Ovis aries: one gene and its partners. Each later gene encodes a partner of the first gene's protein in a complex. Links are inferred from orthologs where the notes say so. Each region holds a gene or a part of one and is shown in the gene's direction. Other genes may lie near its edges.

Region 1 (8,093 bases):
CTGGCTTCATCTTTGATATTGGGTAAAGCAGTATGCTATTCTCCTTTTAGACTATGAACTAGATGGGCCCTGTGCTTAAATTTGGGGACTGTGAGTTTGTTTGGAGTGAAGTTTTATATTACTTCCAAGATTCTATAAGCAGTAGAAATCAAGGATGGTTTTTATAAATCAAATACGAGTATTTATATCTTTATTATCACGGCTTATCTGTTCCTGATAGAAGAGTTTCAACAGGGTTAACTCATAGGTATGAAAACTTCTCAAGATAGACACCCAAGTCCTAGCTGCACGAAGTGTGTTTATGAATGAGGCAAGCTCAAGGTCCTCCTTGTCTTTTGTTTCCAAATGCTCCTAATCGGGTGATCCAGGTAACACAGTAGAGAGAATTGTGGTCCACTGCGGCAACAACCAGGACTTCCAGGATTGGCTGGAGCATCTGTACAGGCTGATCAGAGGACCTGCCTCTTGCAGTTCATTATCCAAAACATCATCGTCATCTTGTAGTGCTCACTCCGTAAGTAGCGTGTCTGTCCTGTCCAGGGATTATTGAGTCTCTTGTCAAATCCTGCCTACTGAGGACTTACAAGAGTGGTGAGCATGCCCTTAGCCTTTGGATAGTTTGGATTTGTAGGATTAGAAGTACAGTCAAACCTCATTAATTCTGCTTTCTTGTTATGGGGGAGGCCTATCCCAATTAACACAGAGTTTGAGATATGCAGCCTTATTTGACAGTTATACTCCAACTGAACTGCTAGCAGAGTTTTTCTAACCAGAAGTCCTGCTAAGATGTTTTAGTGATAAACAGGATGTATTTTACTTAGCAACCGTTATGCTCATCAGTGCTTCGGCTCCAATCCTTTGGCCACCTGATGCGCCGAGCCAACTCATTGGGAAAGACCCTGATGCTGAGAGAGATTGAAGGCAAAAGGAGAAGGGGGTGACAGAAGATGAGACGGTTAGATAGCATCACTGACTCAATGGACATGAATCTGCACAAACTCCGGAAGATAGCGGAGGACAGAGAAGCCTGGGGTGCTTCAATCCATGGGGTCGCAAAGAGTCAGACACAACTTAGCAACTGAACAACAACAGCGTGCTTGTACTGATAATGTGCTAAGGCAAAAGAGATAGTTTACCCTCTTAAGTACTGAAACATCTCCATGCAATCCCATCTATGCTATCACATTTCTTCATTAACCTTTAAGGGTAAACTTTGAGAGCTGCCTCCTTCTGCTTTATCACAGAGTTCACAGAATTTGAATTGATGAGATTTTACTGTACTTGCTGAGTGAGACTGAAGATGTGCTGTGTCGTCTGTTAACATTCAAACCTGTGATGCCCAAATTCCAGTTTTGAGCATAGTGTGTTGTGAGAAGAAAAAGGGCTTTTGGCATCAGATCTGGGTTCAAATCTTGACTTTGCCGATTGCTGACTGGTTACTTCGCTTTGCTAAAGTTTGCCTTCAGCTTTTCTGAAAATAACCTATGTAAGCACCTAATTGAGTGCCAAACACATAACTGAACTCATTAAATGTTGACTGTTATTCCACTTTCCTCCCTTTCAGGGGAAAAAGAAAACATCTGACTTGAATGAAATTGCAGGACAGAGGGAGGGCAGGCTCATGGGATGTGGAGTCATTGTTGTGCTGTTCCTTTGAGGGCCCAGGTCTTGACTGGAGAATGCCAGTTCTCCAACTGGAGACTTGTTTTCCCATCTTTTCCTTTCTGGGCCTGGCTTTTCAGATCCAACCAAGCTATTGCTGTTCTTTCAGTGTGTGGCCCAGGGTTGGGTTCATATGGCCAATTGCTACCATCTCATCAGCCATTTTCCCAGTCTTTTAGCTCTACTGGACAGCCCCGAGGACCCTTGGAGCCTCCTCAAATTATAAAACCGTGGAGCTTAAGTTGTCTACGACCTGCACCTCCACTTAGACCATCAGCAGCACTAGGTTATAAAGAGGTAATTTTGCTACATATGGTATAAAATGCTTCTGACAAGCTGATTTTGTAGCTTATTAAAAATAGTTCTGTGGGGATGTGCTAGAATTGATGGTAGGTGATACAGTCAGTCAGTCTTGAGTTGCCAGACTCAGTGATTTTTTTTTTTAATTTCTTAATTTTTCATTTCCCCATTGTCCATCTACACATATATCTTAAATACCCACAGGCTTTCTGTGCACTGCCTGAGTTTCTCCAGTCTCCTCCTGAAGGGCCCCTGGTTTGCCTTTATGATGATATGATAATTCTATAAATTGGTCATGATGTACACACATCTCAAACAAAAGTTGCTTCATTAGCGTGGAATTGCTAACCAAGCAGACCCAGTTCTGCATTTTTAATCATTTTGATCTATGAAACCAAATCTGGGACCAAACCCTGGGTCTGAACTATGAAAGTCTGAATTATTTGCTGCAGTTGGAAAGAAAGAATTTAATGAAAGGAATGTCTTTAAAAAAGAGGCTTCTAAGCAACAAGCCTAGAGGACATTTGATATTTGGGTAGAATGGGGATTTCAAGTTGTTTTTTTTTTTTTCTTGTCTCGAAGTTGCAGTCAGGAAATGCCAGTCACTATCTTCTGAAACTGTGTGGAGTGTTACCTTTTCCATCCAAACTTTTTTTTTCCCTAGCATGGTTCTCATCATTTCAGCTTTCAGAAAAGATCCTCATTTATTAGCAACTGTTCTTTAAATAGGTATTAACGCATGAAGATTTAAGTTTGTGACAGTTATGAGATGTGTCTTAGAATTACGGTGCCAAGGCAGCATATGTTTTTGTACCAAATGTGTGTTTTTGATGCGTAACACAGACTTAGCTCAGTTTTGAGTTTGTTTTGATTTAAAACACCATGCCATTGTTTCACTTGTTGCCTCCAATGCTTAGTGCAGTAAAAGTAGAACAATGTTTGGATACAAGAGGATTTTTTGATCTTTTCAACCTGACATGATAGGAAAATAATCCTTGAGCTGAATCTTTATTATGTACCTCTATTCAGAATTTGGCCAGAAAACAGCCCCAGAGATTGGCTTTGGAAATTGATCGGTGATTCCTGCAATCATCCAATTTTCTCCTCTGATTACCTTAACCAGGAGTGCCACTTCATAGTTACCTAAGTCCCCTTTTTAATGATGGATATTTTGTAATTGTCAGTTACTAAATTCAAATTAAGGTGAGCTTTGAAGTGTAAAGTTGACTTAATCCTTCACAGAACTAATCCATTAAAACTAAGGCATGATCACTTTGTTTCTGCTGGGAGAAGTGAGTTATTAATATGTTCTTACTATATAGTGTGTATTTCAGTAATTTTCAGCATTTGTAATTCTTCACAGAACTGTATTCCTTGGGCTTTTGCATGACGATATTGCATCTGAAACTAATGTGGGAAACATGATGATATTTTCCCTGTGTAATTTATGATAACACTAACATTTCAAATGTTGTTTTAGAATTATTGATAAATGGATTTGGTCACTATAACCATCGACCTCTCACGCTCATCTTCTCTTTCTTTACATATTCACTTTAGAGGATGTCTTATATCTTAAAGGTAAGGGTAGAACAATATCTTTGGTGTACAGTGACATCATTTAATGCTGTGCTGTAATCTTTGATGAATGAAGCTTTCCTTTATGCTTGTTTTGTCCCTTTTTACAATTGGTAGCTAAAATATGAAGATACATTTCTGACATGTAAGTACTTTCTTCAAAAAAGTAGGCTCTTGGGAAATATGAACAAAAATGAAAAACTACGTGTGACTAAAGTAACAGGGAAAATAGAAACAGCATGTAAAATGTCTGTTTTCCATGGGCTTTTTTTTTTCACTATTTCTATTTTTCCTGTTATTTTTGTCACATGTGAGTTTTTCATGTCTATCTGCTTTCTAAGGACATCACTGAGGCTAATAGGAAGAAATTAAATTCTTTGTCGTATTTATTTTTAAGGTAGCAGTTGTTATCCATTCATCCTGTATATACATAGCATGGAAGGTTGAAATAAGATGATCACTGTTTACTCGGATACTTAATGAGCACTTTTTAGACTTTCTGGTTATTCATATGGCAAATCCAACAATTCATATATCTTTTATCTGCTAATTAAAAATATGCCTTGCTTGGCTGTTGGTACATTACGTGTAACCCCACATTATTTATCAGGAAATCTTTCATTTGGCTATTCTCTCTGAATACAGGGAATGTACTTAGTCTCTCTGCCTTAATTTTCCTGTCTGGCCAGTGGAAGTTGATATTCTTCTTTGTGGGACTGTTGCTAAGGAGAATTTATTAGTTTTGAAGCTCTTTGAAAAGTGGTCTATACCCCACTAAGAGTTATCATTGATATTTCATTCCCTTAAAACTGTATCAGTGGGAAGTATAAACCCAGTTAGGAGTAGTGTTATTTCTCTAGGAATGGCATCCATCACCATCTCTCCAGATTGTGCCCTAAAGGCACTTTGCCTCCTGCATCTGCAGTTGGCCCATGCCATTCTTGGAGCCACTTTTACTGTGTCTAGCATTAAATTTTTATTCCCTCCTAAGTGAAACTGTAAAAATCAGAGAGCCATTCTACTTAATTTCATTTGCTCTTTTTAAATTTTTTTTTCGGGGGGTGGGAGGGGCGAGAACCTTAATTCATGAAGAAATCTCTACCCTTATAGGAGTCTAGTAAAAGCCCCAAAACGATGAAGAAGTTTCTTCATAAAAGAAAGACTGAAAGAAAACCATCAGAGGAGGAGTATGTCATCCGGAAAAGTATGTATGTGTTTTTTATTTTTCGAAAGTTGATTATAGATGAGGAATTTTTTGAAAGCAGAAGATTTGAGCAGTATGTTCTCAGCGTCATCTTTCCCATAGGGAAAAACGCATGTGAAGGCTTAGCCTCCTCTAAGACTTTGGAATAAGCTGTCTCCGGCTGCTTTTCACCTGTATGGTTTTCGTGTTGACTGTTCGGCCTTACCTGGTTTAGAAATACTAAAGGGACCTATTTGCAGTGGATACTTTTTTTCCGTTCTTAGTTTCTGAATGCCTGAGATATTTGCCTTTACTGAGACTCACTCAATAGACCTGAAGGGAGTTTAATGTTCAGTGATGTTCTCAGTTAGTCAAGGAATCTGCCTGCTGTCATATAGAAACAGGGCTGGATTTAGAGACAGACTGCAAAGTCGGTCAGCCAGTGGGTACATACACATTTGCCTCTGCTGCTGGGAACAAGGCACTCTGGGACACATATGAAGGAGTAAGTGACGCTTCCTAAATGGGTGACAGAGCTGTGCGTATCAGTCAGAGATAGTCTGGATAAACCTTTGCTAGACTTTAGCTTCTGTATCCCCCATCCCCCACCCCACTCCTAGGTCTGTGCACATGAGTGTGTTAATAGTCACTTCTAGGATGAGTTGGAGGGGCTTGGAGAGGAGAGGGAGAATCAATGACTAGCCTGGCTGGTTGGGGAAAAAATGTGTTATGTTACTGGTGGAAAGCTTCCTTAGAGAAGGTGAGCCTTGAAATTTGATGGAGAGGAAGGGTGTGGTGTGTCAGCTAAGAACTGAGGCCAGCGCCAAGCCCAGTGCTGGCCCTGAAGCCTCTGAGACACTTGGGAGACCCTCTAATTTAGTGTTCCGAGTGGCTTCCAGAGCAGACCACTCTCGGTGCTGATCTCACTGGTGCTGACCGCAGAGCTCCTCGGTCACTCTTGCTCCACCATGACAGCTGGTCAGCTTTTCTCTCCTGCCTTGCATGAACACCATTGGTCAGAGAAGCCAGTGCCCAGCACCCACGTGCATCATTTCAAGGGTCCAGAGGTGTGTATCTCTGTGAAAAGTCACAATTCATTACATTTGACAGGTACGGCTGCTCTGGAAGAAGATGCTCAGATTCTGAAGGTGATTGAAGCCTACTGTACCAGCGCAAGCTTTCCACAAGGCCATGGCTCAAGTAGGTCCCCCCAGCCACTTTCTCTAATGAGTGATGTTTCTTCGCTACTGCTCACTGCCTCTTGGAAAAAGAGCAAAGCAACCCAGATGGGCTGCAGGGTGTGGAAAGCAGGTGACTTGAAGCAGAGGAGTGGGTACAAGGCTGCATCTTTCAGATAAGCTGGTTTTAGCTACCAAGCGGTTTGTTTACCCACTATTTCTTTTCACCCAGAGAGAAAGAGAGATGCAAGAATAAAAAAAAGTTGGAGGTGATAGAAATGAAAAAAAAAAATTTTTTTTTAAGTCAATTTCCTTTGAAGTACACAAATACCTTCACCAACACTAGTTAGGAATTAAAGAGCCCAAAGGGTTCCTGTGTCTGTGAACTGATGCTAATCTCTTCTTATAGGCAGATTTGGAAAGGAAGTCAAAATATTATCTTTGATCAGCTGCATATTTAAGCAAACAGAGCTTCACCAAGCTCAAGTTTCAGAGTTGCTCTGAAAATCTGGAAATGTAGCTGCTTAGCAGGGCCTGTTCAGAGTGTCTACAATTTATCAGGGACCTATTAGCTGAGGGTATTTCCCCCAGCCTGAAAGGGAGATGATGTTTTCTGATTCTTCCTTGTGCTTTTATAAAAGACATGTCACATGGCTTATGTCCTTGGCCTTTCATTATTAGAGACATTAAGGATACCTGGTGTCAGGGTCTTGCCTCTGCAGAAGCCATGAGGTCTCCCTAAGGCTCCACTGGGACAGCCACTGAGCCCATGCTTGAGCGTGGGCAGGGCTTCCTCAGTGAACCACCCTGAGGGGTGCTGTCAAAGTGACATGTCTCTAAGGGCATCATGGGAAAAGCATTCTATGTGGACTTTGATACATTTGACCTTGAAGGGGAGAGTGTCACACCGTGTGCTTCTCAGACGCAACCTGGCTGCAGCTTTGGGCATGCCTAGCCCTAATAACAAGATTCCAGGAGCCAGGAAAGGCAAGTGAGAGAAGTTTTTATCATAGAAACCAGGAAAGAGAGGGACACAAGGAGACACTAGAAGCAGCAGCCCTCCTATGATATCTGACCTCACCTCCTGCCTCCTCCTGTCTTCACTCTGATAGACACAGGAAATTTGCTCAGAGGTGCAGGCAGGCATTCTGGCCTCAAGAGTCACATTGTCTCTCCTCCTCCCTGGCCTCCCTTTTATGTGTGGAAAGTGTCTAGCACAGTGCGTGGCACACAGTAAGCCATTTAGCATCATGGTGTCATGGTGACCGACACCATACATCCCTCTCCAGCCAAAAGTCCTGCTCCCCTAAAACTGATCCCTACTGTTTCTTGCTGCATCCAGCTGGTTGGTCAGTCAGCCAGTCTGCTACCCACTTATTAAGCATCTACGAAGTCCTGGGCCCTGCAGAAGACAGAGACAGATCCCCTTCGAGGAAAGCATGGAGATTGAGTGAAGGCAGTGAGTGTTCAGAAGTTGAAGGGAATTGGCTCAGAAGAGAGGAAGCCAGTGGCTCAAGGAGACAGAAGATTTAGGGATCTAGCTCTCAGAGGAAGGATACAGAAGGGAGGCGGAGGTTGGAGGTGCAGGAGAGCTGTCTGGTCAGGTCCCATGGCTGCTCTGTCACCTTCTCCATCCCAGAGCAGGGAGATGGTGAGCAGACAGTGGTCAGGACGCCTGCATCTTTGCAGCTGTTGTGATCATCTCCCCACCCACACTCTACCCTTGATCAAAATAGTCTCCACTGACTCTGCGTCACCCTGTAAGGTGGAGAACAAATGGGGTGAATGATGCTTCTGAAGACTTTTTAAGCATGTTGCATCCCCATGTAGTGCTATGTTCTGCATGATTTTTACTAAAATACAAAACACACAGAGTGTGGTGTGCCATTCCCCAGAGATGGACAGGGAGGAATGGTTGCTGGCCAGCTCTTTGCTTTGGAGGAGGCAGAACAGGAAAGGAGGGAGCCTTGGTTGAGGATAATCTCACAGCAGCCTTTTCACATTGTTTCTGGATACAAAATGTGCCCCTGCCCCCAGGGCTGAAACAATGTATTCGGCCATTTCATTTCTCATGTCAGAAAGATTTCGTCAGAAAATGTGACTGCTCTTGGGGTGCCAGTCAGCCAGATGCCGTCAACAAAGACCCCTCAAAAACAATCGTAGAAAGGAACAAACCCCCAGTAAATAGTCTC
Region 2 (8,093 bases), on another chromosome or scaffold:
TTTTCTTTGCTTTCTGCTATAAGGGTAGTGTCATCTGCGTATCAGAGGTGATTGATATTTGTCCCGGCAATCTTGATTCCAGCTTGTGCTTCATCTAGCCCGGCATTTTGCATGATGTACTCTGCATATAAATTAAATAAATAGAGTGACAATATACAGCCTTGACATATTCCTTTTCCTATTTGGAACCAGTCTGTTCTTCCATGTGCAGTTCTAACTGTTGCATATAGATGTCCAAGAGGTAGGTTCGGTGGTCTAGTATTCCCATCTCTTTCAGAATTTTCCACAGTTTGTTGTGATCCACATACTCAGAGTCTTTGGTGTAGTCAGTAAAGCAGAAGTAGATGTTTTTCTGGAACTCTCTTGCTTTTTCGATGATCTAATGGATGTTGCCAGTTTGATCTCTGATTCCTCTGCCTTTTCTAAAACCAGCTTGAACATCTGGAAGTTCACAGTTCATGCATGTTGAAGCCTGGCTTGGAGAATTTTGAGCATTACTTTACTAGCATATGAGATGAGTGCAACTGTGCATTAGTTTGAACATTCTTTGGCATTGCCTTTCTTTGGGATTGGAATGAAAACTGACCTTTTCCAGTGCCGTGGCCACTGCTGAGTTTTCCTAATATGCGGGCATGTTGAGTGCAGCACTTTCACAGCATCATCTTTCAGGATTTGAAACAGCTCAACTGGAATTCCATCATCTCCACTAACTTTGTTCGTAATGATGCTTCCTAAGGCTCACTTGACTTCACATTCCAGGATGTCTGGCTCTAGGTCAGTGGTCATACCATCATGATTATCTGGGTCATGGAGATCTTTTTTGTATAGTTCTTGTGTATATTCTTGCTACCTCTTCTTAATATCTTCTGCTTCTCTCATTTACTGTGCCCATCTTTGCATGAAACGTTACCTTCGTATATCTAATTTTCTTGAAGAGATCGTTAGTCTTTCCCATTCTGTTGTTTTCCTTTATTTCTTTGCACTGATATCTGAGGAAGGCTTTCTTCTCCTTGTTATTCTTTGGAACTCTTCATTCAAATGGGTATATCTTTGATTTTCTCATTTGCTTTTTACTTCTCTTCTTTTCACAACTATTTGTAAGGCCTTCTCAGGCAGCCATTTTGCCTTTTTGTATTTCTTTTTCTTGGGGATGGTCTTGATTCCTGTCTTCTGTACAATGTCACAAACATCCTTCCATAGTTCTTCAGGCACTCTATCAGATCTAATCCCTTGGGTCTATTTGTCACTTCCACTGTATAATCATAAGGGATTTGATTTAGGTCATACCTGAATGGTCTTGTGGTTTTCCCTACTTTCTTCAATTTAAGTCTGAGTTTGGCAATAAGGAGTTCATGATCTGAGCACAGTCAGCTCCTGGTCTTGTTTTTGCTGACTGTATAGAGCTTCTCCTTCTTTGGCTGCAAAGAATATAATCAATCTGATTTTGGTATTGACCATCTGGTAATGTCCATGTGTAGAGTCTTCTCTTGTGCTGTTGGAAGAGGGTGTTGCTATGACCAGTGAATTCTCTTGGCAAAATTCTATTAGCCTTTGCCCTGCTTCATTCTGTACTCCAAGGCCAAATTTGCCTGTTACTCCAGGTGTTTCTTGACTTCCTACTTTTGCATTCCAGTCCCCTATAATGAAAAGGACATCTTTTTTGGGTGTTAGTTCTAGAAGGTCTTGTAGGTCTTCATAGAACCATTCAACTTCAGCTTCTTCAGCCTTACTGGTTGGGGCATAGGCTTGGATTACCGTGATATTGAATGGTTTGCCTTGGAAACAAACAGAGATCAATCTGTCATTTTTGAGATTGCACCTAAATACTGTATTTCGGAGTCTTTTGTTGACTGTGATGGTGACCCCATTTTTCCTATGGGATTCTTGCCCACAACAATAGATAAAATGGTCATCTGAGTTAAATTCACCCATTCCTGTCCATTTTAGTTTGATGACTACTAAAATGCCTATGTTCACTCTTGCCATCTCCTGTTTGACCACTTCCAATTTGCCTTAATTCATGGACATAACATTCCAGGTTCCTATGTAATAGTGCTGTTTACTGCATCGGACTTTGCTTCTATTACTAGTCACATCCACAGGTGGGTGTTGTTTTTGCTTTGGCTCCGTCTTTTCATTCTTTCTGGAATTGTTTCTCCACTGATCTTCAGTAGCATATGGGACACCTACAGACCTGGGGAGTTCGTCTTTCAGTATCCTATCTTTTTGGCTTTTCATATTGTTCATGGGGTTCTCAAAGCAAGAAGACTCAAGTGGTTTGCCATTCCCTTCTCTAGTGGACCACATTTTTTCATGCCTAGTTGTAGATGATTAGGGTTTCATGCCTGAGAAATTAAATAAGGACCTAGTAACCAGATACTGGTATATGGGGATGGTTTTCAGGAAGAAAGCAGAATTTGGGTAGGTAATAAATGTCAAAATGGGCAGCTTAGCCTTTAATGCTAATGTTTATGGTTTGAGGAGGAGTAGGAAGGCAGAAATGATGTTTCATGTGCCTCCTTAAAGTCTGACCAGGGCACAGCCTAGGAGCTGGATATGAAGGTGGCAGTTATGTGACTCCAGCTTTGGAGAGACAAGGGATGTAGTGGTTAGGACACTGGCAGAGCTTGATACCTTGGGGTAGGCACACAGTATTTACAGAAGAAACACTCTGCATATGAACCGCTTCTGTCTTTTCTTTTTCAGCTGATTTTGGATTTTGTGCTCAGATCACCCCAGAGCAGAGCAAACGCAGCACCATGGTGGGAACACCATACTGGATGGCACCAGAGGTTGTGACCCGGAAAGCCTATGGGCCTAAGGTTGACATTTGGTCCTTGGGCATCATGGCCATTGAAATGATTGAAGGAGAGCCCCCATACCTCAACGAAAACCCTCTGAGAGTGAGTGTTACTAGTCCCATATCAAGATGTTTGGGCTGTTGGATTTCTCTTTTCTGGATCAAACTAGGCAGTGATAAAGTATACATGCTTAAAGAAAATGTAAATTAGCAGTCATTCATTCATATATTCAGTGATTATTTGAGTTCTAATGGGCAAGAAACTGTTGTGATAATAATAAAACAAATTAATATATAGTAACAGAAGATAAGAGCTGTGAAAGAAATAGTAAGGGGCTTAAGAGAGTAAGAGGAGGAAGGACAGAGAAGTATGCTGTTTTATTCTAGGTGGAGAATGAATTCCTCTCTTATAAGTTATCTGAGGAGACATCTGAAGAAAAAAAAGGAATGAAAAAGTAAAAAGAAAACTGAAAAAAGGAATGAGTTTTGAGATTAATCTGAAGTAAGAATTTTCAAGTTATCAAGTGTATAAAGAACTTGTTTAGAGAACATACTTGATACATCCTTGGGAAAACCAAGGAGACTAATGTCCCTGAAGTGAGTGAGCAGAGTGGACAAGGTTCTGACCATGTTAAGTTAAAATGTTTATTAGACATCTTAAATGGAGGTATTGAGTAGAATTGGGCATAAGAGTTCAGAGTTCAAGAGTGAGCATTCAGGACTCGAAATACAAATTTATTAGTAGGTATTATATGGTTGGTTTATTTAAAAATCAGAGGTAGATGATAATGAGATCACACACTTAGGGAAAGAGGTAGTACTGAGACCTGGGATACTCTCATATTTACAAATTAGAGGAACCAGCAAAGTTGATCAATGGGCAGCCTTCCTGGTAGAAGGAGAACTGAGAGATGTGTCCTGGAGGCCAAGAGGACAAGTGTTTTGAGAAGGAGGATGGACCAGTGTGTCAAATGTGACTAAGTTGCATTTAAGCCAATGCGAAGTAATGATCATTAGATTTGCCTGTGTGAAGGTTGTTGATGACTTTGACAGTCAGTTTCACTGGAGTGATGGGAACAAAAGCCTGATTAGAGTAAATCCACCAGAGTGAAGAAATGACATGTATAAGCAGTTACTTTTCATCGTTTTCTTTCAGAGGAATTTTGCAGTTATGCTAACAGAGAAGTGAGTGGAGCCATATCTTGAAGTAGCGACTAGGGGGGTTTTCTTTTTTTGTTTTTTGTTTTGAAGATGATATTATCATAGCATGTTTTTGTGCTGATGAGAATTATCTAGTAGAGAGGAAAATGGTCATGTACAAGAGGGATGTGACGTCTGTAGGAGAGATAGTGATATCGTTAAGTAGATCGGGGGGTTGGATGAAGTACTGAAGTAAAGATCATCAAATTAGAACTTGGACAGTTTGTTATTATAATAGGAGAGGGAAAGCAGTGTAAGTGAATACAGATACAAGTAGGTTGATAATTTTGATCATGGGCAAATGTGAGAGTTATTCTGATTGTTTTTATTTTGTTATTTATTCCAACCTCTCACTCAGTGCAAGAATTCCCAGAGTTTTGTCGCTAATCAACAGTCATGTAGTTTTAGCCAGTTACCTCTTGGATAGCCCTGATTATTGAAAAGTGTTTTAGTGTACCAAACTGAAACTACCTTCCATAGTTTCTTTCCTTGCCTCCCAGTATTGCCCTGTGGATCCACATGCCACTCATCTTCCTCCACCTTAGAGTGGCCTTGAAAATGATGATGATTAGTAGTAACAGAAATGAGACTGGGATCAAAGTCAGAGGACATAAGCTTGTGTAAACAGCACAATCCCAAGCATATCTCTTTATGTTTTAGGACTTTATCTGTGAAATGGGGATGATAATTCTTGCTCTGCCTATTACCCAGAGTTATTGTGGTCATTAAATGAGATAGTGTTTGTGTAAACACTTATGAAATAAAGTTCAGATTGCTTTAAAAGGTTTAGTATGATGTTTTTCTTTATCTTTCCCAGGATATGGCTTCATATTAGAGAACCAAGATGGCAACAGTGAAACAGATTGCTCCTTTACAGACTAGTTCCTTTATATATTCTTTTCCTGCTAGAAGAGATCAGTTTTTAGATGACTGAGATGATGGCACCAGGAATAATAAATTTCCTTCAATAAATGGGCAGGTGTTTAACTCATTAGGCTAAATGTATAGTAAACCATTTAGATTTAAATCAATAATAATAAATCCTTGGATCTGTAACACACTTCATAAGCTTATGAAATGCTTACAATATGTTATCTTGTTTTATTTTACAGACATGTGAGATAGGCACTGTTATCATCCCTGTTTTACAGACGAGGAAGTTAGAAATTCACTGGAAATTTGGCTCTTAAGTCATATTCTCTCCATTATACCAAAGCTGCCTCTTTGTCTTCTGAAGGCAGAAAGCAGCCGACCATATTTCTTCGGGGCCTGTCTGGGAACCAGGAAAGAATCCCAGGTAGAGCCCAGGGCAATTCTGTTTGTATTTCCAGGCCTTGTACCTCATTGCCACAAATGGGACCCCAGAGCTTCAGAACCCAGAGAAGCTGTCAGCTATCTTCCGAGACTTTCTGAACCGCTGTCTTGAGATGGATGTGGAGAAGAGAGGTTCGGCTAAAGAACTGCTGCAGGTAACTGTCCCTATGTAGGGAGGCACCTAATTCAGAGAATCACATAATGAAGGCTTTTTTGCTGCATTTTTGTATGGCTGTTATAGAACTAGGCTTTTCTCCTAGCACGTCCCACACTCCTATTTCCCTCATCTTGTTCATCCCTGGACCTTTGCTGATGTTACTCCCTTGGGCTCTTCCTCAGCCTATTAAAACTCTGTACTTTTCTAGGCTGTATCTTACAGAGTTATTTTCTGAGCTCTTATTGAACTTTGCCTATATCTTCCTTTGGTGCTTGTTATGTTCTGCCTGAATTAGTCTAGCAGAGTTTGAGTCTTGATGAGAAGAAATTTTTTGACATGCAAATCTTATACAAGGTATATTTTACTGGGATAAACTCAAAAGATAGATTTTTAGGAAAGGATATCAGAAGACATTCATTTAGAGGATAGTTAGTGCAACATTTCAAGTCTTCCCAGTTTCTTCATGGAAACCCTTGCAGATGGTGGGAATGATAGTCTGCTTGTTTGTTCATTTATTTCAATTTTTTGGCCATGCCACATGGCATGAGGGACCTTAGTTCCCTGACCAGGGATCAAACCTGTGCCCTCCTGCAGTGGAAGCTTGGAGTCTTAACCATTGGATCACCAGGAAGGTCCCTATAGTCTGCTTGTTTGGAGTGAGATCCTGACAGGCTGTGGGGAACCTGAAGTTGGGGGTTTACCAAGCCTTATATATTCCACCAGCTTAATCCTGAAGTTATAGCATGATTATTTCATATGGTTTCAAAATTTGCTTTTAGTTGACCACATTATCTATATTTAGCATTTATGTTTCAGTTACAATTTCTCATTACTAGTGTTATTTTACTACATTGCCAACTGGTGATTTAATAAGTGTGACATGCAACTTACTGACGATGAGAAATGTGTAGATTTGCACAGTCAGTCAGTATACAAAAGTCATAAAACTTTTGTATTTTGAGGACTAACACAGGGCAGGGCAGGGCAGGATGTACCATACTGCATCAAATTAAAGCTAACTATGAACAATTCTGTCTTCCTTACTGTTAGTAGATCATAACTTCTATGTTATTAATCCTTGGTTTCCTCTTACCTGGGACCTGAATCAAAATAGGTATTCAGTGGGAGAAAACATTTGCAAATGATATCACTGATAAAGCATTAATATCCAAAATATATAACCAGCTCATACAGTTCAGGAAAAAAAAACCCTACAAACAACCCAGTTAAAAAGTGGGCAGAAGACCTGAATAGACATTTTTCCAAAGAGAAAATGCAGATGGTCAGCAGGCACATGAAAAGATGCTCAGTATCACTAAGTATCAGGGAAATGCAAATCAAAACCACAGTGAGAAATCACCTCACAGCTGTCAGAATACCTGTCATCAAAAAGAATCCAAATAACAAATGTTGACAAGGATGTGGAGAAAAGGGAACCCTCCTACACACTTGATGGGGATATAAATTGGTACAGCCAATATGGAAAACAATATGGAGGTTTCTCAATAAACTAAAAATAGAACTATGATATGACCCTGTGGTTCCAGTCCTGGGTATATATATGAAAGAAACAAAAACTAATATGAAAAGATACATGCAACTCAGTGTTCATAGCAACATTATTTATAATTGCCAAGATATCTAAGTGACCTCAGTGTCCATCAGGAGATGAATGGATGAAGAAGATGTGGATGAATACCGAAAGTGAAGTCGCTCAGTCATGTCCGACTCTTTGCGACCCCTTGGACTGTAGCCTACCAGGATCCTCAGTCCATGGGATTTTCCAGGCAAGAATACTGGAGTGGGTTGCCATTTCCTTCTCCAGGGGTGGATGAATACTGCTCAACCATAAAAAAGAATGAAATCTTGCCATTTGGAACAACATGGATGGACTGGGAGGATATTATGCTAAGTGAAATAAGTCAGACAGAAAAATAAATGTTGTATGACATCACTTATATGTGGAATCTAAAAAGTAAAATAAACTAGTGAATATATAAAAAAGAAACAGATTCACAGATATAGAGAATAAATTAGTGGTTACCAGTGGAGAGAGGGAAAGTGGGGGAGGGACATTATATGGGTAGGGTATTAAGAGACACAAATTATTACATGTAAAACAAGCTGCAAGGATATATTGTATAACCCAGGAGATATAGCCAATATTTTATAATAATTATAAATGGAACGTAACCTATAAAAATTGTGAATCACTATATTTTATACCTGTGATTTATGCAGTGGGCTTCCCTAGTGGCTCAATGGTAAAGAATCCTCCTGCCAATGCGGTAGATGCAGGTTCGATCCCTGGGTTGGGAAGATTCCCTGGAGAAGGAAATAGGAAGCCACTCCAGTATTCTTGCCTGGGAGATCCCATGGACAAAGGAGCCTAGCGGGCTACAGTCTACAGAGTTGCAAAAGAATCGGACATGGCTTAGTGATTAAACAACAACAACTTGTTGTTTAATCTTTAAACTAACATTGTATATCAACTATACTTCAATTAAAAAATAGGTATTCAGAAGATGTTTGTTGAATTGAATGGAATTGCTTAAACCTTCATTGAAATGTTACCTTCTGTAGATATTTAGCATCTCTTTGTAATCAGAGTTACTGACTACA
Region 3 (8,093 bases), on another chromosome or scaffold:
AACACAGAGTCAGCATTTTGTAAGGGCTTTGATGCAGTACAAGTTTGATACATTGATCATCTGTCAGAGTATGTGCGTATAGGCAGTAGCGTGATGTCTTCCTCTCATGTCATTTTCCCTGGTCCATGTAACTGTCTTTCATCCGGGTTTTGCAGTAGCCTCCTATCTGGTTTCCCAGCTTTTGCCCTAGCTACTCCCTCTCCTCTTCTTGACCCAGGGGTCAAAGTAATCCTGGTTTAACCTAAGTTAGACCGTGGCTTTCCTCCAGTGTTGTCTCATCTCACTCAAATTAAAGCCAGGGTCACGGCAGTAACCCCTAAGGCCCTATCTGATCTGGGCCCCCTACCCCTGGCCTCATCTTCCATCTTTCTGCCTTGTTCCCAGCCTCATAGGCTTTTCTACCTTTTCACAGATGTGTGAGACCTGCCCCTGCCCCAGGACAGGCCTTTGCAGTTATAGTCCCCTTTGCAGTTATAGTCCCCACAGCCTGAAAGACTTGCCTCCTAGAAGTACCTTGCTCCCATTCTGGTGTCTTCCATGTAGGTAGGGGCCTTTCACACCACCCTATTTTAAATAACAGTCCTTCCCTCCCCCTGTTCTACTGTGTTTTATTTTCTTGCAGCTATCAGGGTTTGTGGGGTTTTTTTTAAGATTTTTGATTGTCTCCTCCCCACCAAAATCCAAGTATCATAGTGGGCAGGCAGTTTTGCCTGCCTTGTTTGCTGCGGTATCCTCAGCACCCAGCACTGTAAATATTTGTTGAATGAAATCGTTCTCTTTGTTTTTATTTATTTTTTATTTTATTATTTATATTTTTATGAAGTAATTCTCTTTAAAACTGATGACTTGATAAGTGAACAGATATCAAGTAAAAGCCATAGTTTTTTAAGCTTTTTATTTTAAGACAATTACAGATTCATATACAGTTGTAAGAAATAATACAGAAAAAGTAAAAGCCATAGTTTTTTAAGCCTTTAATTTTAAGACAATTACAGATTCCTGCGCAGTCATAAGAAATAATACAGAAAGATCCATGTCCCTTTCGCCTGTTTACTCCATTGATAACAGCTTGAAAACTATAGTACAATACCACAAGCAGAATGTTAACCCAGTATACCCATCTTGGGCACATTTCCTCAGTTGTTTTACTCATATTCATTTCTGTGGGTATATGCACATGTGTGTTTGCGTGCATGCTAAGTTGCTTCAGTCATATCCAACTCTATGCAGCCCTATGGACTGTAGCCCTCCAGGCTTCTCTGTCCTTGGGATTCTCCAGGCATTGCCCTTCTCCAGGGGACCCTCCCGACCCAGTGATCAAACCCATGTCTCTTATGTCTCCTGCATTGGGAGGCGGGTTCTTTACCACTAGCAGCACCTGGGAAGCCTCATTTGTGTGTGTTTAGTTCCATGCAGTTTTATCTCATGTAGAGCTTTGTGTATCTACCACCACAGTCAAGATAGAAGACTTCATCACCACAAGACTCCTTTGTATTGCCCATTTGTTGTCACACTGACTTATATGTCACACCCTCCTAGCCTTCCTCTGGCATCCCTAACCCCAGCAGTGACTGATATGTCTCCAGCTTTATAACACTGTCATTTCAAGAATTTTCTATAAATGGAATCACACAATATAAAACCTTTTGGGAGTATGTTTCTTCACTCAGCATAACTCATTGAGATTCATTGAAATTGTTGCATATATTATAGTTCCCAATCACTGCTGAGTAGAATTAACATTTTTAACCATTCACCTGTTACAGGACGCATGTGTTGTTATCAGTTTGGGGCAATTGTGAATGACATTTCCATAAACATTTGTATACAGATTTTTGTACACACATTTCCTTTGTTGTTCCTTTGTCCTTTCCGTTACTAAATCGTGTTTGACTCTTTCCAACCCTATGGACTGTAGCCTGCTAGCTCCCCTGTCCATGCAGTTTCCCAGGCAAGAATACTAGAGTGGGTTTCCATTTCCTTCTCCAGGGTATCTTCCCGACCTAGGGATTGAACTTGTGTCTCCTGCATTGGAAGGCAGATTCGTTACTGCTGAGACACCAGGGAAGCCCTAAATTGCCTTTACTCTGGGTTAAATGCCCAAGAGTACAAATGTTGGGTAATTTCATAACTGCAAGTTTTAGTTTAGAAATTGCCCTACCATACTGTTTTCCAAGAGGCTATACCATTTTACATTCCTAAGCAATGTATGTATGTTTCTAGGGATGCAGGGGGTAAATTATTTAAACCAGATTTTGTATACTACATTTCTTTGCTCCGTTTTTACTGTATTTGAATTTAAGATCCTGAAGGTCAAACGTATATTAAAAGAGAAAGTGTTATATAAAATTTAATTTTTAAAGAATATGTGTTAAGACAGGGAGCAAGTGGAGGAGCAGATTCCTTCTAGTTTGGCTTATCAGCCATGAATGTCCAGTGGGCTAGTCACTTTCCCTTTCATTTCTGAATCATGGGATTAAGGATTCTGGCAGTACCTGACTCACAGATTTACTGTGAAACCCAAATGAAAAAATGAACCCAAAAAGACTCCATTTTATAGGCCAAAGTGACAGCATTTTGTAAAATACTGAGAACTGGATATTGTTGAGCCACATGATTGTCTAAAATTAGCTCAGATCCATAACCAGCCCTGTATGCAGAATAGTACATTGGTTTAGTAATACTGCCATCTAGTGCTGAGGAGCAAATAATGCTGTCAAGCCTTAATATTAATAGTATTAAATTTTATTTCAGTTTCATTATTCACTTACTAAAATTTCCTTGGGACAGTTTCCCTAGTTTGTTTTCTTTTGTTTTTTTGTTCCTGTGGTTAAGAATAATCACACCTTCTAGTGTGCCCAGGGCACTAATGAGTCGGAAATCTGACATGGACACAGTAAATTCAAACAGAAATATGAAATTCTGTAAACAGCAAGAGCTGTGGGGTGAGAGAAGAACAATGGAAAACCTGATATAGTTTCTTAAAAAAAATTTTTTTTCAGTCCCATACATACTGTCACTCACTGAATTCCATTTCACAAGGGAATGGTCAGATTAAAATTTGATTTAAGTGAGGCATTGCTGAACTCAGAATCCAGACTGTAAGTATATTCAGACATGAGCAAAGAATAAAATTTCACCTTTTCTGTGGATGATGGAAGATGAATCCGTGAATAAATAAGCCAACAGCTAAAGGAATGCAGCCAGTTTTTCTTGTCAGAGGCAGAGGAGAATGGAACGGGTCCTGTCCAAACCAGCTCAGAGACAATAAAGCTTTGGGGAGTTTGTGTAAAGACACATGCTCTGCCCCCTCAGCCTCTAGTGACTAATTCAGCCAGTTACATATTTCCAAAAATTGGTACAGTCTGACCAGCCACCAGCTCTTAGTTATTCAGGTCTTACTTGCACCTCTCTTTTCCGAAGGATCATATTACCTTCAGATGATTAGATAACCTGTCATCTGCACGGTGGACATAACGGTGCTGTGGCGTAATGGTTAAGAATATGGATTGTCTTGTTAGAACTAGGTTGGCATCTGGTTCTGCTGTACTTGGGCATCATCCATAAATGGCAGTAATAATAGTACTGCCCTCACCGATTAATAGAGTAATGCATGCAGAGTGCAGTACAGGGCCTCCTGTACAGTGAGCGTTCTGTCTGTGATAATCCTTACTGCCTTGTAACCTCATTTCTTCTGCCTTGCGTGAGGTACCTCTGAAACCTAATGCTTTACCACACACCCTATTCCATAAAGTCTAATAATCTGTCTCTGGCCTGGCAGATGTTGCAGGGAGGCAGTGTGGAGAAATTGGAAACTGGCTGCTGCTTTTGCACACTACCAGCTGACTTCATTTTTTAATATGAAGTAGATTTTAAATGAGCAGACATACCTGTTCTTAAGTTCAAGTATAGAAACATTTCACATGTCAGTGTGGATAGTTTCAGTTTTTTAAGAGTTCGTTTTTGTTCCACTAGATAGATAAAAATTGCTACCTGGATCATTTTCGAAGCCTAAGGTGTATTTCATGGTGAGGTTTCTCCATGTCTGGTTTTTGATTGTGCCTTTTCTTATAACATGGTGTTCTTTACCGGAAAAGACTTCTAAGTTTCTGCAAGATCATTCCAATATGATCTGTGTTTTCTAAAGTAGGTATATCTAAATGTTGGTGTGTGTGTGTGGGTATACACATACATATGTATATGTGAAAGAATATGGTGGTTAAGAGCTACGTAATTGGGATTTCCCTGAGGGTCCAGTGGTTAGGAACGACTCTGCACTTACACTGCAGAGAATACTGGTTCCATCCGTGATTGGGAAACTAAGATCCTGCAAGCCATACAGTGCAGCCAAAAAATAAAATAAATGAAAGGAGTCCTTTGGGCCCAGGTTGGGGCAGGGCCTGGCACCCTCTGCATACCCAGCAAATAAAGGTTAAATGAATTCAGCAATACTGCTTGAAGGGAGGGTGCAAGAAAGCTCACAAGTGGGAAGTATGAACATATCTCCTCTGAATCATTGGAGTGGTATCAGTAAACCAGATCACTAAAATATAAGTAAGTTTAACGCTTTCAGGCTTAAATGCTTTCCTTTTCCTTCAGCGTCTGTGATTTGGGAATTGGAAGGTTGCTATTTAAAAAATGGTTAAATTGGGAGGGGCAATATAGGGCAGGGAATTAAATGGTACAAACTTATTATGTATAAAATAAATAGGATACAACAATAAATTGTACAGCACAGGGAATATAGCCAATATTTTATAGTAACTAAATGAAGTACAGTCTATAAAAATATTGAATCACTATGTTGTATACCTGAAACTAATATAATGTTATATCACCTATACTTTAATTTTTTTTTAATAGTTAAATTTATTTTCTGGTATTTGAGGCCTAGTCCTTAAGGTACAATGCCTGCCTTTTAATAAAAAAAAATATGAACATAGAGGTAGGATTGCTTGATCATCATTTGGTCCTCATATCCTCTTGAATGTAATTTCCCTACCATGTGTGACTGACATGGGGCAAATTAACTTTGAGCAAAGTAATTGCCCCTTTACCTTACAGCTGTTTGCTAAGCAAAAAAGGTGAATTTTAAACTATTACCTGAGTTCCTAAAATTTGATTTTTATTACAAATGTAGGTGTATCACCACCTTGGGGATACCAGGTGCATTCTTGGCCTTAATCCTGAGGACATCTTCAGCTTGTTCCATTTCCTATCCTTGCTTCTGCAAACTGATTTGGTTGATGGAAAAGAAATTTAGTTATGTTGGTTTGCAAGAGTTTTCTCTCATTGGGTGATTTGATTTGTTTTTCAGTCTGCTCCATCTGGACACAAACATCTGACGGTGGAAGAATTATTTGGAACCTCTTTGTCAAAGGAACAGCCAACAGTTGTGGGTCTGGATTCAGAAGAAGTGGAGAAACTGCCAGGAGATGCCTCCCAGAAAGAGCCCAACTCATTCCTACCATTTTCGTTTGAGCCTGGAGGGGCCCCCCAGTCGGAAAACCTGGGTGTCCATCCTGCTGCCCACCCCTCAGTCCAGCCCGAAGTCACCACCCCGGTGCTAATCACTCCTGCTTCCATCACTCAGTCCAGTGAAAAGCAGGCCCCCAGCTATGCCATCCCATTGCACTCTGTGCTAAGTCCTAGTCTACCAGCAGAAGCTTCTACTGGACAGGCTCCCCCCAGCCTACCCCGAAAAACCACCATGATGCAAACAGTGAAGACTACACCTAGGCAGAGGTCTCCACTCCTGAGTCAGCCTGTCCCCGAGCTGAGCCACGCCAGCCTGACTGCCAGCCAGAGCCCATTCAGGGCCCCGCTGAGCGTGACAAACACAACCAGTCCATCTCTCCCAAGTGTTGATCTTCTCCAGAAACTCAGGTTGACCCCGCAGCATGACCAAATACAGACACAGTCACTTGGGAAAGGTGCAGCAGCACCCAGCTTTTCTCCAGCAGCCGGCCAGCTGGCCACCCCTGAGAGCTTCATAGAGCCTTCCCCTAAAGCAACAGCAGCAAGAGCCTCAGCCTCCCTGAGCAACATGGTGCTTGCTCCCCTTCAGGTACTGGCAGGAGATTGGGTGGCTGTAACCTAGTGGGATGAAACTGGATTTTGATTGAGAGGAGACAGAGTTGTTTAAAGAGACAACCGTTGAGTGTGTAAGGGGCTAGAAGAAAGGAGAGGTGAGAAGCCCTGCAGTGATCAACCAAACCATCGGTAACTGGTGGTGTAACTCAGTTCCACTTCCCAAAATAATTTCAGCTGATAAAAGCTGAGAAATTGTATTTTCCTTCCTGGGTGTGCATTTTAGCGTTTTTTTGTTTGTTTATTTTTGCCTGACACGTCTAGGAGTCCTTATTTGACTCAAGACCATGGATCCAGATTATCCCAAGCTTTGTTCCATCCCCTGCTCCCTCAGTACTCTGACTGAGTGCCTGCCTTGTGCCAGGTGCATTAGGGGTGCCATAAGAGCGTCCCACATCTGGAGGTCTGAGGTCAAAGAAAGCTTCCTCGGGAAACTGGCCATCAGCTGAGATCTGAAGACTCAGTAGAAATTAGCCAGACCTAGAGGTAGGAAGTGTGTGTGAAGGCAAGGAAAGTAGCAGGTGCAGAAGCCTAGACACGAGAGGGCATTTGCTGAGCTGTGGTGTGACTGGATCTATGTGTAAAGAAACATGGGGGAGCAGGTATTGGTGATGAGTAAAATTTTGTAAATAGTATCAAGGAGTTAGAGGTTTGTTCTGAGGACCCTGGAGAGTCTTTTAAGTGTATGAGCCAAGGGTGGCACGCTGGGAAAGGGGATGACAGAAGGACGACAACCCATCAGAACGGAGGTCGGGGCAGTCACCCAGGCTTGAGCGGGTGGGGGCCTGTACTGGGCAGTGTGGACATGTGGATTTATTAAGAAGGAGGATGAGCGGGACTTGGTGGGGTTTGGATATCGGGGTGAAGAAGAGGTTTGTCCCTCAGTAACTTAAAACGTTGGTGAGTTTACAAATGAGGAAATCAGGTCACAGTTGAAGTGACTTGTGCAAGATCACAGAACTGAAAGGGGGTAGAGCCTTTCAAGGTTTTAGTCTCATGCCCTTTAATCATTACAATCCCCAGCTCTTGAACATTTTACCAAATAATATTAATACTGGCTCTTCTGTATAATATTATCTCTTAGTTAATGGAATGCTTTGTTCCATTCCGTTAAAATTCTGTACAGAAAAAGAAACCTGGTGTCCTGGTTACATGATTAAATTGTCATATTTGCCGTTTCTGTCTGCAGTATAAGGAGCAGCGAGAATGTTCTGTTTGATAAAACATCCCTGAAATGTGTCTGCTGCCACTATTCCTGTTGTTCTAGAAATACAGCCTGCAGTCCTGAATACCGCCCCTCTAGATTTGGCCTCTGGGACAGCACCCTGCTCTCCAGCATGCCTCTGGCAGAGGAAGCTTACAAACATGTTCTTTCTCGTTTATGTGCCATATCGAATTTCAGGACCTGGGACCGCACTGAGTCCTAATGTATTTGCTCTGCTACAGGAGCTTCTGTGTCTCCCAGGGAATAGGTATAGCATTTATCTGGAAGTGTGTGGCTCTGTGTGAGACTGTTTAGTGCCACCTGTCAGAGTGTGAACCACCCTATCAGGAGGCTTCATGCTATCAGGATCTTGCGTCTCTACAGTCTCAACAGCAAAATATGCTTGGTCTGTCCCCACTCTTATAAGAGACCCAGGTTTCAGCTTTTTCTGTAGAGACGTTTTCAAGGCTTTGCACACCCCTTTTCTCCAGTGGAACTGAAGAGGGTTGGGGGCTGTCCTGAAGCTCCTATCCTGCATTGTGACAAATTCTGGTCAGCCACTTCCCTCAGGAATCTAGGAACCAAGTCATGTTTGAACTCCTCCTTACAGCTGCTAACCTAGATTTTTACCCCAGTAACTAAGAAATCTTTAATGAAAAGTTGCTACATCTGTTCATCTTTTCTGTTTAAACGTTGCAGTCTATGCAGCAAAACCAGGATCCTGAAGTTTTTGCCCAGCCTAAGGTGTTATCCAGTGCCATCCCGGTAAGGATCCCCTTTTTCTAAAGAGCATAGTATG

What was found. The genes of interacting proteins can lie anywhere in the genome.
Region 2: ARHGEF6 (region 1) and PAK1 share a complex: the UniProt entries of both Homo sapiens proteins name them as parts of the cytoplasmic complex. The link is inferred for Ovis aries from reciprocal best matches to the Homo sapiens genes ARHGEF6 and PAK1.
Region 3: ARHGEF6 (region 1) and DCP1A share a complex: the UniProt entries of both Homo sapiens proteins name them as parts of the cytoplasmic complex. The link is inferred for Ovis aries from reciprocal best matches to the Homo sapiens genes ARHGEF6 and DCP1A.

What each region holds. Positions count from the first base shown.
Region 1 is NC_056080.1:98,532,930-98,541,022, forward strand, and holds part of ARHGEF6 (rho guanine nucleotide exchange factor 6), read left to right. Parts: intron 1-368; coding exon 369-514; intron 515-1,833; coding exon 1,834-1,959; intron 1,960-3,522; coding exon 3,523-3,543; intron 3,544-4,650; coding exon 4,651-4,744; intron 4,745-5,833; coding exon 5,834-5,923; intron 5,924-8,093. UniProt on the Homo sapiens protein: Acts as a RAC1 guanine nucleotide exchange factor (GEF).
Region 2 is NC_056074.1:16,256,991-16,265,083, forward strand, and holds part of PAK1 (serine/threonine-protein kinase PAK 1), read left to right. Parts: intron 1-2,706; coding exon 2,707-2,903; intron 2,904-5,331; coding exon 5,332-5,469; intron 5,470-8,093. UniProt on the Homo sapiens protein: Protein kinase involved in intracellular signaling pathways downstream of integrins and receptor-type kinases that plays an important role in cytoskeleton dynamics, in cell adhesion, migration, proliferation, apoptosis, mitosis, and in vesicle-mediated transport processes.
Region 3 is NC_056072.1:47,778,394-47,786,486, forward strand, and holds part of DCP1A (mRNA-decapping enzyme 1A), read left to right. Parts: intron 1-5,317; coding exon 5,318-6,067; intron 6,068-7,993; coding exon 7,994-8,059; intron 8,060-8,093. UniProt on the Homo sapiens protein: Necessary for the degradation of mRNAs, both in normal mRNA turnover and in nonsense-mediated mRNA decay. Removes the 7-methyl guanine cap structure from mRNA molecules, yielding a 5'-phosphorylated mRNA fragment and 7m-GDP.